3 linked regions of the Bombyx mori genome follow. The protein of the gene in region 1 interacts with the protein of each later gene in a pairwise test. Links are inferred from orthologs where the notes say so. Each region holds a gene or a part of one and is shown on either strand. Other genes may lie near its edges. The genes, in order: neogenin, kalirin and E3 ubiquitin-protein ligase TRIM9.

Region 1 (4,245 bases):
TGTAAATCATGAGTAAATCATATCATAACCACAGTGAAATCAATTACTGTAGATCCTAAAATATTGATAATATGAACAGATTGACATTTGATAGCATTAATGTAGATGTGTGTAAGGTTTAAAGAGTCTCACTGAATATTTCTCCAACATAATGATGGTAGGCAATGACGATCATCTGACACTGTTTATCATCTCCCGTAATTGTTTAACTCTTGGTGAGTGAGCTGGTCTGTTCACTTATGCGAACAAAACCTGGCCACATAGGGTTCTAGTCTACTATTTGATATGGAAACTCATTAATAGTGTTAATACATAAAGAGCTCATTTGGTTGTAAAATTATACCACTTTTGAATAACTGATCTGTATCACATAGTTTCATTATACTTTTACTATTTCACACTTACAGGATAAGCTGTACTTGTAACTTTGTGACTGTTCCATGGGGTATCTAAGTCACATACATACACATGACCTCCCCATGTTGCTCCGTCCACATCACTAAGCTCTGTCGGTGATGAGAATGCTATGATATTTGCACATGATATTGTACATATTGGTCGGACTACTTCAGAGTCTTTTACACTAGAAATAGACAACATTATTAAGCATTGAGTTTATGTAACACCAAGAAACAGAAATAATGTTTTACAAACAGAACACAGAACGCATGGGACTATTTTAAAATACTTGAATTTTATGTAGATGTGATAAGTTCTAAAGTCAGCTCTTTTTATAATATACATCCATGAGCTGAGCAGTCTCCTATTACTTTTCTCCTTAATTTGTTATTTTTATCCTTTTAGTGTTTTCTTATGATGGAAGGCATCATGAACAACGGTAACTTAAAAAATAAGTTGATGTTACTGCCGTTAAAGATATCTTAATTTGTAAACTCTTGTTGCGAGGAGATGGTCACGACCCTCAGTATTGAGGAAACCGAAGCAAGAAGAAGAAGAATTTGTAAACTTTAGTAAATTTGGATAGAAATATAAACTTTTGATATAAATTTAAACTATTTACTTTTCGAAGTGCGGAGGTTCACATTTAAGTGGCTTGCGTCTCATAGAGTATATTAGCTCCATTACAAACTACCGCGGACTGCGGTTAGCGATTTGTGAACGAAATGTTTAATGTTTATTAAAATACGCATGTAAAGCAGGTTGGAAATTTGAAGTTAATAAGATTGCAAAAACTTTATTTGTTGATACCTATCACGTCAGTTTTTAAAATGTGTCAAAATGACAATAACGTTTTATTATTGCTTGGATCTGAATTTATATATTTATTTGTGGAAGTACCAATTGTATGTAACGAATGATAAAAGGATTATACGTATTTTTGGTTGGCACGGATTATATTTATTTTTTAAATGTTTTGTCTCCTAGCGATTTCGAATTTCATATTGTATGTCAGAATTTCCATTGCCAATTCCATTTCTCGTTTGACAGAAATCAACGAAGTGTACTAACTTCAGGGCGCTCCGTTTCGTCCCGGGCAATGCCCTTTCAATATCGAATTGTTTCCGAACGTAAGTGGACATGAAAATGGCGGATCGCGTAGTATCGCTCCGAATTCGTTATCTGTGAACTTTAACATAAATATTTTTGATTTTATGTGAAAATGTGATAGTTATGAATTAAAACCTCTAGTGCAGTGGTCTTCTATTGGTTTGAACCATGTTTCGGACAGGGATCGTAGCTTACGGCGTGAGAAACTGGATATTCTTGTGGCTGTCGCTACATTTGTTTACATACGTTCAAGGTAGGCTCCTTTCATGTAAAATACGGCATTTATTATCGATCCATTGTCTTCAAGTAACTGTGAGCTTGCCTGCACATGCCAAGTTAAAATATTCGAGAACTTTGGCATAAGTCATTTAAAATAAGGAAATTATTTACATTTGGATTTAGTTTCTGAAGCGTTTTATTTACTATCTTGCAAATCTACCTAATTTAAGTTTAGTAAGTATTTATGTCTCTCTGACGCTTTTAGAGCGGTTGTTAATAAAATTTATGAGGATGTGTACGGCTTGGGCGCGGTATATATTTTATTACTTTTGGACTAAAGTTATGAACTTTTAATAGAAAATATGTCTTCTTCAATAATACTTTCTGTTTTACGGTCAAAAGTGAAGTTTTGTTATTTTTAATTATTCTGTTTTTTTCTCTGGATAATTTTATTCGATCCTTTGGATTTTTCTGATTTAACTTTATAATTTTGTACTAGTATTACTACATACATAATTATACTTATCCAACGTCTCGTATATTTTATTAAATTGTAACTTTTACCTGCCTATTTGCTGGTAGTATAAGGGGCTATTCCAACAACACACGGACGGGATACCTATTGTAACACACACTCGACAATTAATGGCTGAAAAAACAAAAAGTATTAACTTTCAATATGTGATCGCGATATATGGGATCTTATGAGATAAAATTATAAATATGTACATATTTTATAAATTAATGCAACTAAAATTGCAATGACTTGAAGTCGTCGTGGCCCAAAGGATAAGACGTCCGTCCGGTGCATTCGTGTCGAGAGATGCACCGGTGTTCGAATCCCGCAGGCGGGTACCAATTTTTCTAATGAAATACGTACTCCACAATTGTTCACGATTGACTACCACGGTGAAGAAATAACATCGTGTAATAAAAATCAAAAACTCACGGGAATAAAGTGTGTCCATATTCCGTGCTCTAAACCGCTGCACAAAGAAATTTTCAATAATAACACTTCGTAAACAGGATTTAGTATCGGGTCGTGCTCGCGTGAATACCGACCGGGCTTTTGGTGATTTTATTGTAGTCGTCAGGGCTCCGCTGTGGGTCGGCCGCCAACTGAGAGAGTTGGCCATTTCTTGGCTAAATGGAGTTGTCTTATTAATCTATACTACTGAACCATGCATTCGATTGACTTGAAGCTTGGTATCCATGTAGAAAATATATGTACTTAATGGATAGGCTAATATTTATATGAGTGTTGGACTCCCCAATAATAATGACCATAAATAATATTACGGTTTTAAATAACAATAAAACCGATATTATGTGCAGAGAAGGAAAACATACAGCACTGTATTATGAAGAAGCCGTGTGTACTTAGCTTAAATTCCTTGTGTATTATGTATGTGTAAAAGGCGCACGAATTCGGCCCTACAGTGCCTAACAGTTGTATTGTATTGAATTAAAGAAATTGCATAAAATATACCTTCTAAATCGAGGGCTGGGTAGCCCTGACCGTGGCAACGCAATGCTCACAGAAGGAACAGTATTGGGCCGCCACGGTAGTTAATTCTATAGCCGTCTTATTGCCCTAGGAAAGTCTGAAGATTCATCGCTAATCATCTGTCCCATTCGGAGCGCACTCTCCTGAGATAAGAAACTCTGAGGGACTTCCGACTCTATTGGTTGTGATCCTTACGTTTTTATGAATAACTAGCTTTTGCCCGCGACTCCCTCCGCGTGGAATAGTTACTTCGACATAACGCTAAATTTTACCTGCGACTTCATTTACGTAGGAAGTGAAAATATTTTTGAATAATAGAATGTTTAGGAGCTATTTAAGGTGCCAAGTGATGTTATATAGCCTTTCTCAATAAATGGGCTATCTAACACTGAAATAATTTTTCAAATCGGACCGGTAGTTCCTGAGATTAGCGCGTTCAAACAAACAAACTCTTCAGCTTTATAATATTGTTAAAATAAGTATAGATTATCGATTCCTTACTGCGGCTAAACTATAGACTCTCGCAACAGCAGAAGTGGGAATCCCGCTCTGGTCGGCAGCATTCAACCTTACCGTATGTTAGATGCAGTGCAAGTGTTGTGCCCGTAGTCAATACTGAAATACTCTGGTATCTACAGACAATACAATAATTTTGTTAGTTCGCTCTGATATCCTGACCAGGATCAACCAGGGTCAAAAAACTATTTAACCGTTTTGTTTTTTGTTTTTAAACCACATGTATTATTTAACTTAATCATTGCACAAGTGCCATTCCTGTGCGAGATGATTATTTGACAATTGAAATCGCGAAAACTGAAGAGATTACATTATACAAATTTTTTGCAAACGATGTGGACGAGAGCACGGCTCACATGGTGTTAAGTGGACACCGAAGCCTATAAACAGCAGCAACATAAATGCGGCCTTTCACCTTGAGGGTTGAGTTCTGATTTTTTTATTTTTTTTATAGCTTTGATGGTTGGACGAGCTCACAGCCCACCTGGTGTTAA
Region 2 (3,656 bases), on another chromosome or scaffold:
AGTTTGAAAAATATATTGTATTTAACGTACATTACAATGTAATTAGGGTGTTATCTTTGGTAAAGTCTGGTCACCTGGTGAGACCTTAGAGCTTATGTCGCATGGTGGGTGGCACATTTACGTTGTACATGTCTATGGGCTCCAGTAAACACTTAACATCAGGTGGGCTGTGAGCTCGTCCACCCATCTAAGCAATAAAAAAAAAACTTCTGCCTTCACTGTCGTTACACAAATACCGCTCCTCACCTCAGTGTAGGCCTGACACATGTGTTCGTAAAGTTGGCGATGTCTCTGGGCGTGTTGTTCTAATGCCCTCGGATCGTTACAAGGCGCTCCTCCTTGACCCGTTGCTAGTTGTAGAGCGACGGCACACTGCGCTCCCCACCCTCCCACCGCTGAAGCGTACGCCTCAGCTTTATGATGAAATACCACCGACAGTGACAGCACTGCAGAACGTTCTTCAAGACCTTGAGAATATTATTTTATTAAATCTCATTTATACTGATACAATATGAGACGGTAAGTAATATAGATTATATAATATATTCATGTTATAAATTTATCTGTCAATCAACATAAGACCAAAGTTCACTACTGTTCAAATTTTTACTGGTGGTAGGTAGGTCCAACCATTCAGCCCATTCCTGTCGTGAAGCAGTAATGCGTTTCTGTTTGACGGGTGGGGCAGCCGTTGTAACTATACTTGAGACCTTAGAACTTATATCTCAAGGTGGGTGGCGCATTTACGTTGTAGATGTCTATGGGCACCAGTAAGCACTTAACACCAGGTGGGCTGTGAGTTCGTCCACCCACCTAATTAATAAAAAAAACACATTAAAGCCCGTAGACAATAACATGAATACCCTTAAACGCTTTTATACATGAGGTTAACATCTAGATAGGTGTTAAAATAAAGGTATTTTTCTGCTTCGAATAAAATAGAAAATGGTTATAAAAAACTGTCAATTAAAATTATCTTACCGGCTGCCAACTGTTTGTAAGCTCTTTCGAGTCTTTGTGCTAATGCTGATATCTGACTTTCAGCGTAATGTCTCTTGTCAGCGAGACGTCGCGCGGCTGTCGTCACACGTGCGACACTCGGCCTTCCGCCGCTAGTACACGCCGCTGCAAATCTAACACGTATCCACAATTAAAACATCACAAAACCTCAGTCGCATATTCATTTTAAGCCTAACACGAAATTTTCAAATTGAATTGTGAGTTTTACTTTTAATTAAACATTACTTTAAAATGCTGATTGATACATTTTAATTCAAGGTAACGGTCTTTTTGCAAGATCGATAACATATTTATCGTCATTAAGACTTTTCATATTGAACATTTCAAATCGCAATTGTTCCAAATGCATTATAAACATTTTGGCGATAAACTAAATCCATACTGATTCTAAAAATAGAGTCTAGATCTTACGTAATGAGCAAAAAAACTACAAAGGATTAGGAAGAGGTATTCAATTGATTTTTGCAAAATTCGATACGTCCTTGTGCATCTAATGTCTAGACTTACCTAGCGTGTTCTTCCTGTAAACGTTTTGCGGCCGCACATGACCGTCCGATCTCAACGTACGTGGCTAAGAAGGCCGTACGGTGGTTCACGATCCATTCCAACATCTGCGCATTTGAAACATTATACTAGTACTCATTTCTTACAGTGTTTAAAAGTGAATACCAATTATGGTGAAAAATCTTTAAGACCGTTGCGATTTTAAAGTCGATAAAACGAGGAATTATCACAGAAAGAGTGAAACACTATAGGATTTCAGACTACGAGAGAATGATACAATTCTTCTGAAAGTTGCACTTATACAGTGCGTGCAATGAATCTTTATTTTTATTCATAATCATGTCGCCTTTTCGCATTAAAAGTGTACAATCTCCAAAGAAAATTTTTGTATTGAGTTAATATGCGTAAACATTTGGTATCACCAGTATTTTTCTGATAAATACTGTCAAAAGAGCGTAGTTTAGTTTTAGTTTACCTATGTTTTGACTACTGTTAACAAAATTAATACATAATTTTATCTTATTTAAAAAACAGATAATGTAACTGAAAAAAATAAAAAATTAATATTGCAAATATGATTAATATTAAAAATATTACATATGAGTCGACTATTATCAAAGCCGGCAATGTGACTTTTGGACAATCATTGGAAAATCAGAAAAACGAATTATTGACTTTGTATTCCATTGGCAGTCACAAAACTCTTCTGAACGACATCTTAGATAAATAACAGGTTAACTATTAACCTTTATTTAATGCAGGTTTTGAACCGTATTCTTTGAAGGAGACGATTATATTCAAATCAATCTGAATTGACATATCAATAATTATTTTTTGTCCAAATACATAGATTTCCACCTTTGATAATAGACGACTCATATTAAGCCTTTAAAAACACTTTCTTGTAAAATTAGTAAGTTTTGAGATTATACAGTTTTATTGCGAGAAGACGATGTGCGTTAATTCAGGTATGAAATATTCAAGGGTAAATACGTTACAATTAGACCTACAATTTAACTTTATAGCTGATAAAAGAAAATTACCTTCTCGCAGTCTTGTTCAAATAATCTGAGCTGAAAACACTGATCTAGCTGCATTTTTTTGTGTTGCCAAAGTTTATGGGCATGCGCATGCGCGGACCGCACAGCCGAAAGTTGAGCTCGCACGGCGCCCGGCGATCCGCAGTGGAAAGCAGAACCTTCGGCGCCACTACCGCTAGCTTCGGAACACGCGGCCTCCGCCACTTCTAATCGTTGTAACACCCTCTCACCTGTTTACAAAGTATATATTTTCAATATGTTTTGAACACATTTTAAGATTACAACTATGTTTGGCATCATAACAATATCATATTTACCATATACATATTATTTAAGAAGTACAGATCAAGACTTCAATTATCAATTAAAAAACCGATGAAAACATGTAACTTTCAAGATAAACAAAATGGAATTTTCGACATACCATTTTTTAATCCAATACCATTTTTATTTGAATACCAAAGACAATCAAAACACATTGTAAAATTCAAAACAAACTATAATAGCACTCCTTCGCTTGTTATAACACCGCTGTTTGTGAAGTAACACTGAAACTCAACAGTTATTCAATCGACCGCCGACGGCAAACCATTCAACCGTGGGACAACAAATAAATATCTTTTTCCGCTGTTTAACCATTTTCTAAAACAATTCATTACATTAAACTAATGCAACAAGTTACTCTGCTGCCTTCAGTTTAAATTTTATTTAGACAAATGAATAAATTAATAACGAAATTTTATGCACTTTTATTAAAGTAATAGTTAGTGAAGGTAGTTTAACATTAAAGAAACATTAAGTTATCGAAACATTAAGTTAAGATGATAAGAAATTTTCTTACGTCCATTTTTAACGTTATTGTACAATTCAGTCGTCTCATCAAAAAGTGTTGTAGCTCGTGTAAATCGTAATTATGATGGTGCCATTTTATTTTTGTTTTTGCTTTCGGAGAAACTGAGCCCACATCCCGCGTAATTATAAGTGATTACCGTTGCTCGTGATGGCATTACAAAGTCCGATTATAGGTTTTGTTTGTGGCATTTATGTAAACATTCGGTAATGTAACTCAATTACGATGTAGGGATAATTCCC
Region 3 (4,412 bases), on another chromosome or scaffold:
AATATGATTAACATTGTATGCAACTAAAGAAATTATGCTATGTGAAAAGTTTTACTCATCAGCTCATCATCATAATACAAATTTGTGTATAATTTTGTCTTTTTCTTGGGGTCTCAACCTATAGATCATGTTTTTACACCAAATTTCTTTTTTTTTTATTGTGTTTTATTATTTCGATACAAAAAATGGAATTATAGATATATTTTCTTTCTTATTCCTAAATTTGACAAATACAGAATTAAAAAAAATCTATTGGTTCAGTTTGACTACTAGCTCTGTTATATTCATTTTTGAGGACTTAAATTAAGTAGTAATCAGGTTTATACCTTTTTTTTATTGATTCAATTGATTGTATTGGTGTACATGATTGGTGGTTACATTTATTGTATTACCTGAAGAAATGCAGCCTGATCTGGTTCTTTTAATGCTTCAATAGAGAAGTGTAGCAGGGCAGTGGCTTCTCTTAGTTTCTGCGCAGCATGCGAAGTAAGAGATCTCATGTTTGCAATTGCCTGAGATTTGGTACTGCGTGCTGCACGAATTAATTCATCTCGTCGTCTTTCTATGGCACAAGTTAGTTCTGCACATGCATTGTCAATTTGCTTCTCCAATTCCTCACAAGATTCCTGAAAGATTTCTTTATTTTAATTAGAGTATGCTTAGTTGTCATGCAGTTTAAATGCAATTCTTTTGCATAAATCCTGTATATTTTGCTGACAAGCTTTCAATTGTTTTGTCAGTTTATGATACAATGACGGTAAAACTTCATAGGAAAAGTGGCTCAATATAATGTACTCAGCAGCCCAGATGAAAAGTATTTTATTTATTTATTAGATAACAGACAGATTATTTATAGAAGCACAAGAGGTATTGTGAATGATGGTTTCTTAATGATCATCATATCAATAACTATAATGACTTTTGAACTCCTGGTAACCTGATGTCCAGTAGTTACAGATCGATGCCTCCAATGAACACTATTCTAACTCAAAATTTTGAAATTTGCATTTTTCACGCAAATCGCTTCACTATGTAAAAAGTAAAGTAAGTAAAAAGTACAATTAATCATTATTGATGGGGTTCGAAGCAAGAGTAAATCAGCTAGTTACGCAAAAAAAACATAAATATATCTGCAATAATAAAGATTTTATCAACTTTTTTCGTTTAAACGATCCTCCTGTAAATCTACGAATTTGGAGTTAGCGTAGTGTTCATTGGAGGCATCGAGATGCCCTTAGATACCACAGTGTTGTGTACCTTAGTATATAAGTTTGGAGAAGGTTTAGGTTGCTGTTTCTCCAATGTCAGTGCCCTTAGTTGTTTAAATTCTAACTATATTGTATTAAAAAAGCTAATAGAATTAAAGAGGCTAGAGTGAATGATCCATATCTATAATTAGAGGGATTCAAAGGTTTATTTGATAAGTAAAGAATTGATTACATTATATGCACTATTCTGTTTAATTAAAGAATGTGTTTATTTAATAGTAGGATTTAAATATGTCTTAATAATTATTATATTTACTAAGATAATTATTAAGAATATATTTAATATTTAGACTTACATTAATTTTTTCACCAGAAGCTTTTACTTTTTGTATGTGGTCTGTCATGGATTTGGCCTGTTCTGATAAATGCTGCAGGGATTGTGATAATTCAGTCTACAAAAAACAAATAGCATACAAGTAACAAAAGATGCCTGGCCATAATTTTTTTTATTGCCCCTGTAGGCATACAAGCATACGGCCCACTTGATGGTGAGTGGTTACCGTCATCTATGGAAATTAGTAACGCCAGGGGCAGAGTTAACCAGCTTAGGTAGCTGGTTAAGTACTTTTTCTTTGCTAATGAACTTAGATTTCACCAAATTAATATAACAGTAATGGGTAGACTATATATAATAAATACCTTATGAGTCCTTGCTGCTGTTGCTAAAGGTTGTGTTTCATGTATTGAATGTCTCTCAGTAAGACACCGTTGACAGATGGGAATTAAACATGTTACACAATATTGTACTGGAGGAAAACCATGATCAGCGCAAGTAGTCCCTAGAGCCCGTAATTCATGTTGTGCTAATGGACCACGAGTAGGATGCCAGGCATCACGACATGCAGCACAATATCTCACTGAACACTGTTCGCAACGGACAACAGCTGCACGACGTTCTCCTTCACACATTTGACATGCTTCTTCTGCAGGCGGTGCACCAGTGACGCCCCCGAAACGTTCAACAATTGTTCGCATAACGCGAAATGGAGGGAGTCCATCAGCTCCGTTGTCATCCAAGTAAACTAGTTTCCTACACGAAGGGCATGTAATACTGAATGCAGCAGACGAATATGCTGGCACAGCCGGGGTTCCCGCGTAACTATTAGGCCTTGATCCACATACCACACCACTGTCAGTTTCACTCGACACTGATGCTTTATCCGCTTCTTGATAATCATTAGACGACCCTGAACCTTCATTATCGTGAATGTGAACCTGCAACTTTTCTGCACAGACCCGACACACAGCGTGTCCACAAGGTAGAAGCACGGGTTCTCTGTAGAATTCTTTACAAACATTACATCTTATTTCTTCTTCCATGATGTATTTTTAAATTCAACTATCGTTTATTAACTATGTAATGTCGTCATCAAAATAATTTCGTACGAGTTTTAGTCATGATAAGAGATAAAAATGTAGCAATTTCAATAACAAACAAAATACAGTTACAACAACACCGATCAAAAATATCAACTCCAAGATACAATAGTCAACAGACGTCAAAAACTCAAAACCGACCAATTGATAACTTTTTTAAACAGCATGGCTCTGATGCGAGACCTTTAAACCAAGCCGAATGAATAAAATGGAAAATGTTGTGATGCGCCGGTCTATTCCTTTATTATTGGGTGAAATCAGGATGACCAAAATTTATACAAATTTTTTTTTTTGTAGGAACTTAAGTAATAATTGTAAGTAAAATCCGTACATTTTACTGATTCAAATTTCATTGTTAATTTCATTTTATTCGTTACATATAAAATTTTCATTCCATTTCATGCCATAATAAATTTTATACAAATAATTCCACCCTATTGCACACCATTTAACTAGAAAATATCATTAAAACAAAATAAAAAATTATAGTGTACAGCGTCATGCTTTCGCCTTTCCTGTGTACGAAAAATGCAACTATTGTTAAGAAATACAATATAAACCTACCCACGCTTGTGTTAATATTACTTAAGCGCCTTAAGTGCCTTATTCACCATCCATCTTGCTGTACGTCCCGCCAAGGCCATGCACGATGCACGATGCATTTAGCGCTTTATTCACGATCCATCACGGCTGTACGTCAGCTCAAGGCCGCAATTAATAATAATTATCGACGTACGTCAAGCCTATTCATGATCGTTTTGCATCGTGCATCGTGCATGGCCTTGGCGGGACGTACAGCAAGATGGATCGTGAATAAGGCACTTTAAAGTATGTTTCCTCAATGACAACAAATTTTCAACTAAAAGCACCGGGTAACTTTACATTTTATCTCTATTGATTGAAATAATTATGAGTTTAGAAACAAATAAGCTGTTTTTGTTATGTAAACAGTACATACGATGCATTATTTTGAGTGGTATTTTTGGTAAACTGATATAACGCCAAGTTTGCTACACCGTGCATAATATATAAGGTGTGTAATATTTTTTTACGATAGAGTGGATGACTAGGTTATCTTTTTATTCCTTAAATGAGTGGACGAGCTCACGGTCCATTGTTATTAAGTGGTTACCGGAGCCCGTATACATTAGCAACTAAAATGCCGCTACCTACCTTGAGTTATTAGTTTTAAGTCTAAACTTACAGTACAACGGCTGCATTATTCTTCAACCCGATACGCATTACTGTTTCACGGCAGAAATAGGCACAGTGGTGGTACTTAGCCATCCGGGCTCATGACGCCCTACCTTTTTTTTTATTCCTACCTAAGCTGGTAGCCTTGAGAGGCTATTCCAGCGTAACCTAAACTAGTAGGTGAGCTCTCGGGGCTCAAACCTGACGACGTTGCTAACATGAACCCTAGCAAGAGCCGTGCTTCGCAGAATCTACCACCGGATCGGAAACGCGACCCACTGAAAGATCCGGCGAGAAACTCAGTGGGCTGTGTCTGAGAGTTAATTTACTCGTCGAGCCCTTCGTCGCAAGCGACGGGTTCGGCGAGAACGGTGACCGGTGCTTGAAGTACCTAGAAGCACCGTTAGTGGATCGGGAGGATCCGAGATGACGTGTTTTGGGCGACGTCGACTGCTCTCCATTCTTTCCGCAGGATCGGGAATGTAGTTACCAGTGGCCACGATGAGAGGGTTCTCGTGTCGTGGCTTTATCGAAGTGGCGCATCGACGCCGACTGTAGATACTTACTGATGGA

What was found.
Region 2: the proteins of neogenin (region 1) and kalirin interact in a two-hybrid assay, tested with the Caenorhabditis elegans proteins (2 studies listed by BioGRID). The link is inferred for Bombyx mori from reciprocal best matches to the Caenorhabditis elegans genes unc-40 and unc-73.
Region 3: the proteins of neogenin (region 1) and E3 ubiquitin-protein ligase TRIM9 interact in a two-hybrid assay, tested with the Caenorhabditis elegans proteins (2 studies listed by BioGRID). The link is inferred for Bombyx mori from reciprocal best matches to the Caenorhabditis elegans genes unc-40 and madd-2.

The regions. Positions count from the first base shown.
Region 1 is NC_085108.1:233,705-237,949, reverse strand, and holds the start of neogenin, read left to right. Parts: upstream 1-1,377; 5' UTR 1,378-1,677; coding exon 1,678-1,762; intron 1,763-4,245. Other genes in the region: mediator of RNA polymerase II transcription subunit 16, read right to left, coding at 406-583, 1,022-1,083.
Region 2 is NC_085107.1:16,321,775-16,325,430, forward strand, and holds part of kalirin, read right to left. Parts: intron 3,229-3,656; exon of another isoform or gene 3,044-3,228; coding exon of another isoform or gene 2,989-3,043; intron 2,795-2,988; coding exon 2,568-2,794; intron 1,632-2,567; coding exon 1,528-1,631; intron 1,134-1,527; coding exon 982-1,133; intron 468-981; coding exon 247-467; intron 1-246.
Region 3 is NC_085118.1:10,863,253-10,867,664, forward strand, and holds the start of E3 ubiquitin-protein ligase TRIM9, read right to left. Parts: upstream 2,869-4,412; 5' UTR 2,589-2,868; coding exon 1,908-2,588; intron 1,661-1,907; coding exon 1,565-1,660; intron 627-1,564; coding exon 393-626; intron 1-392.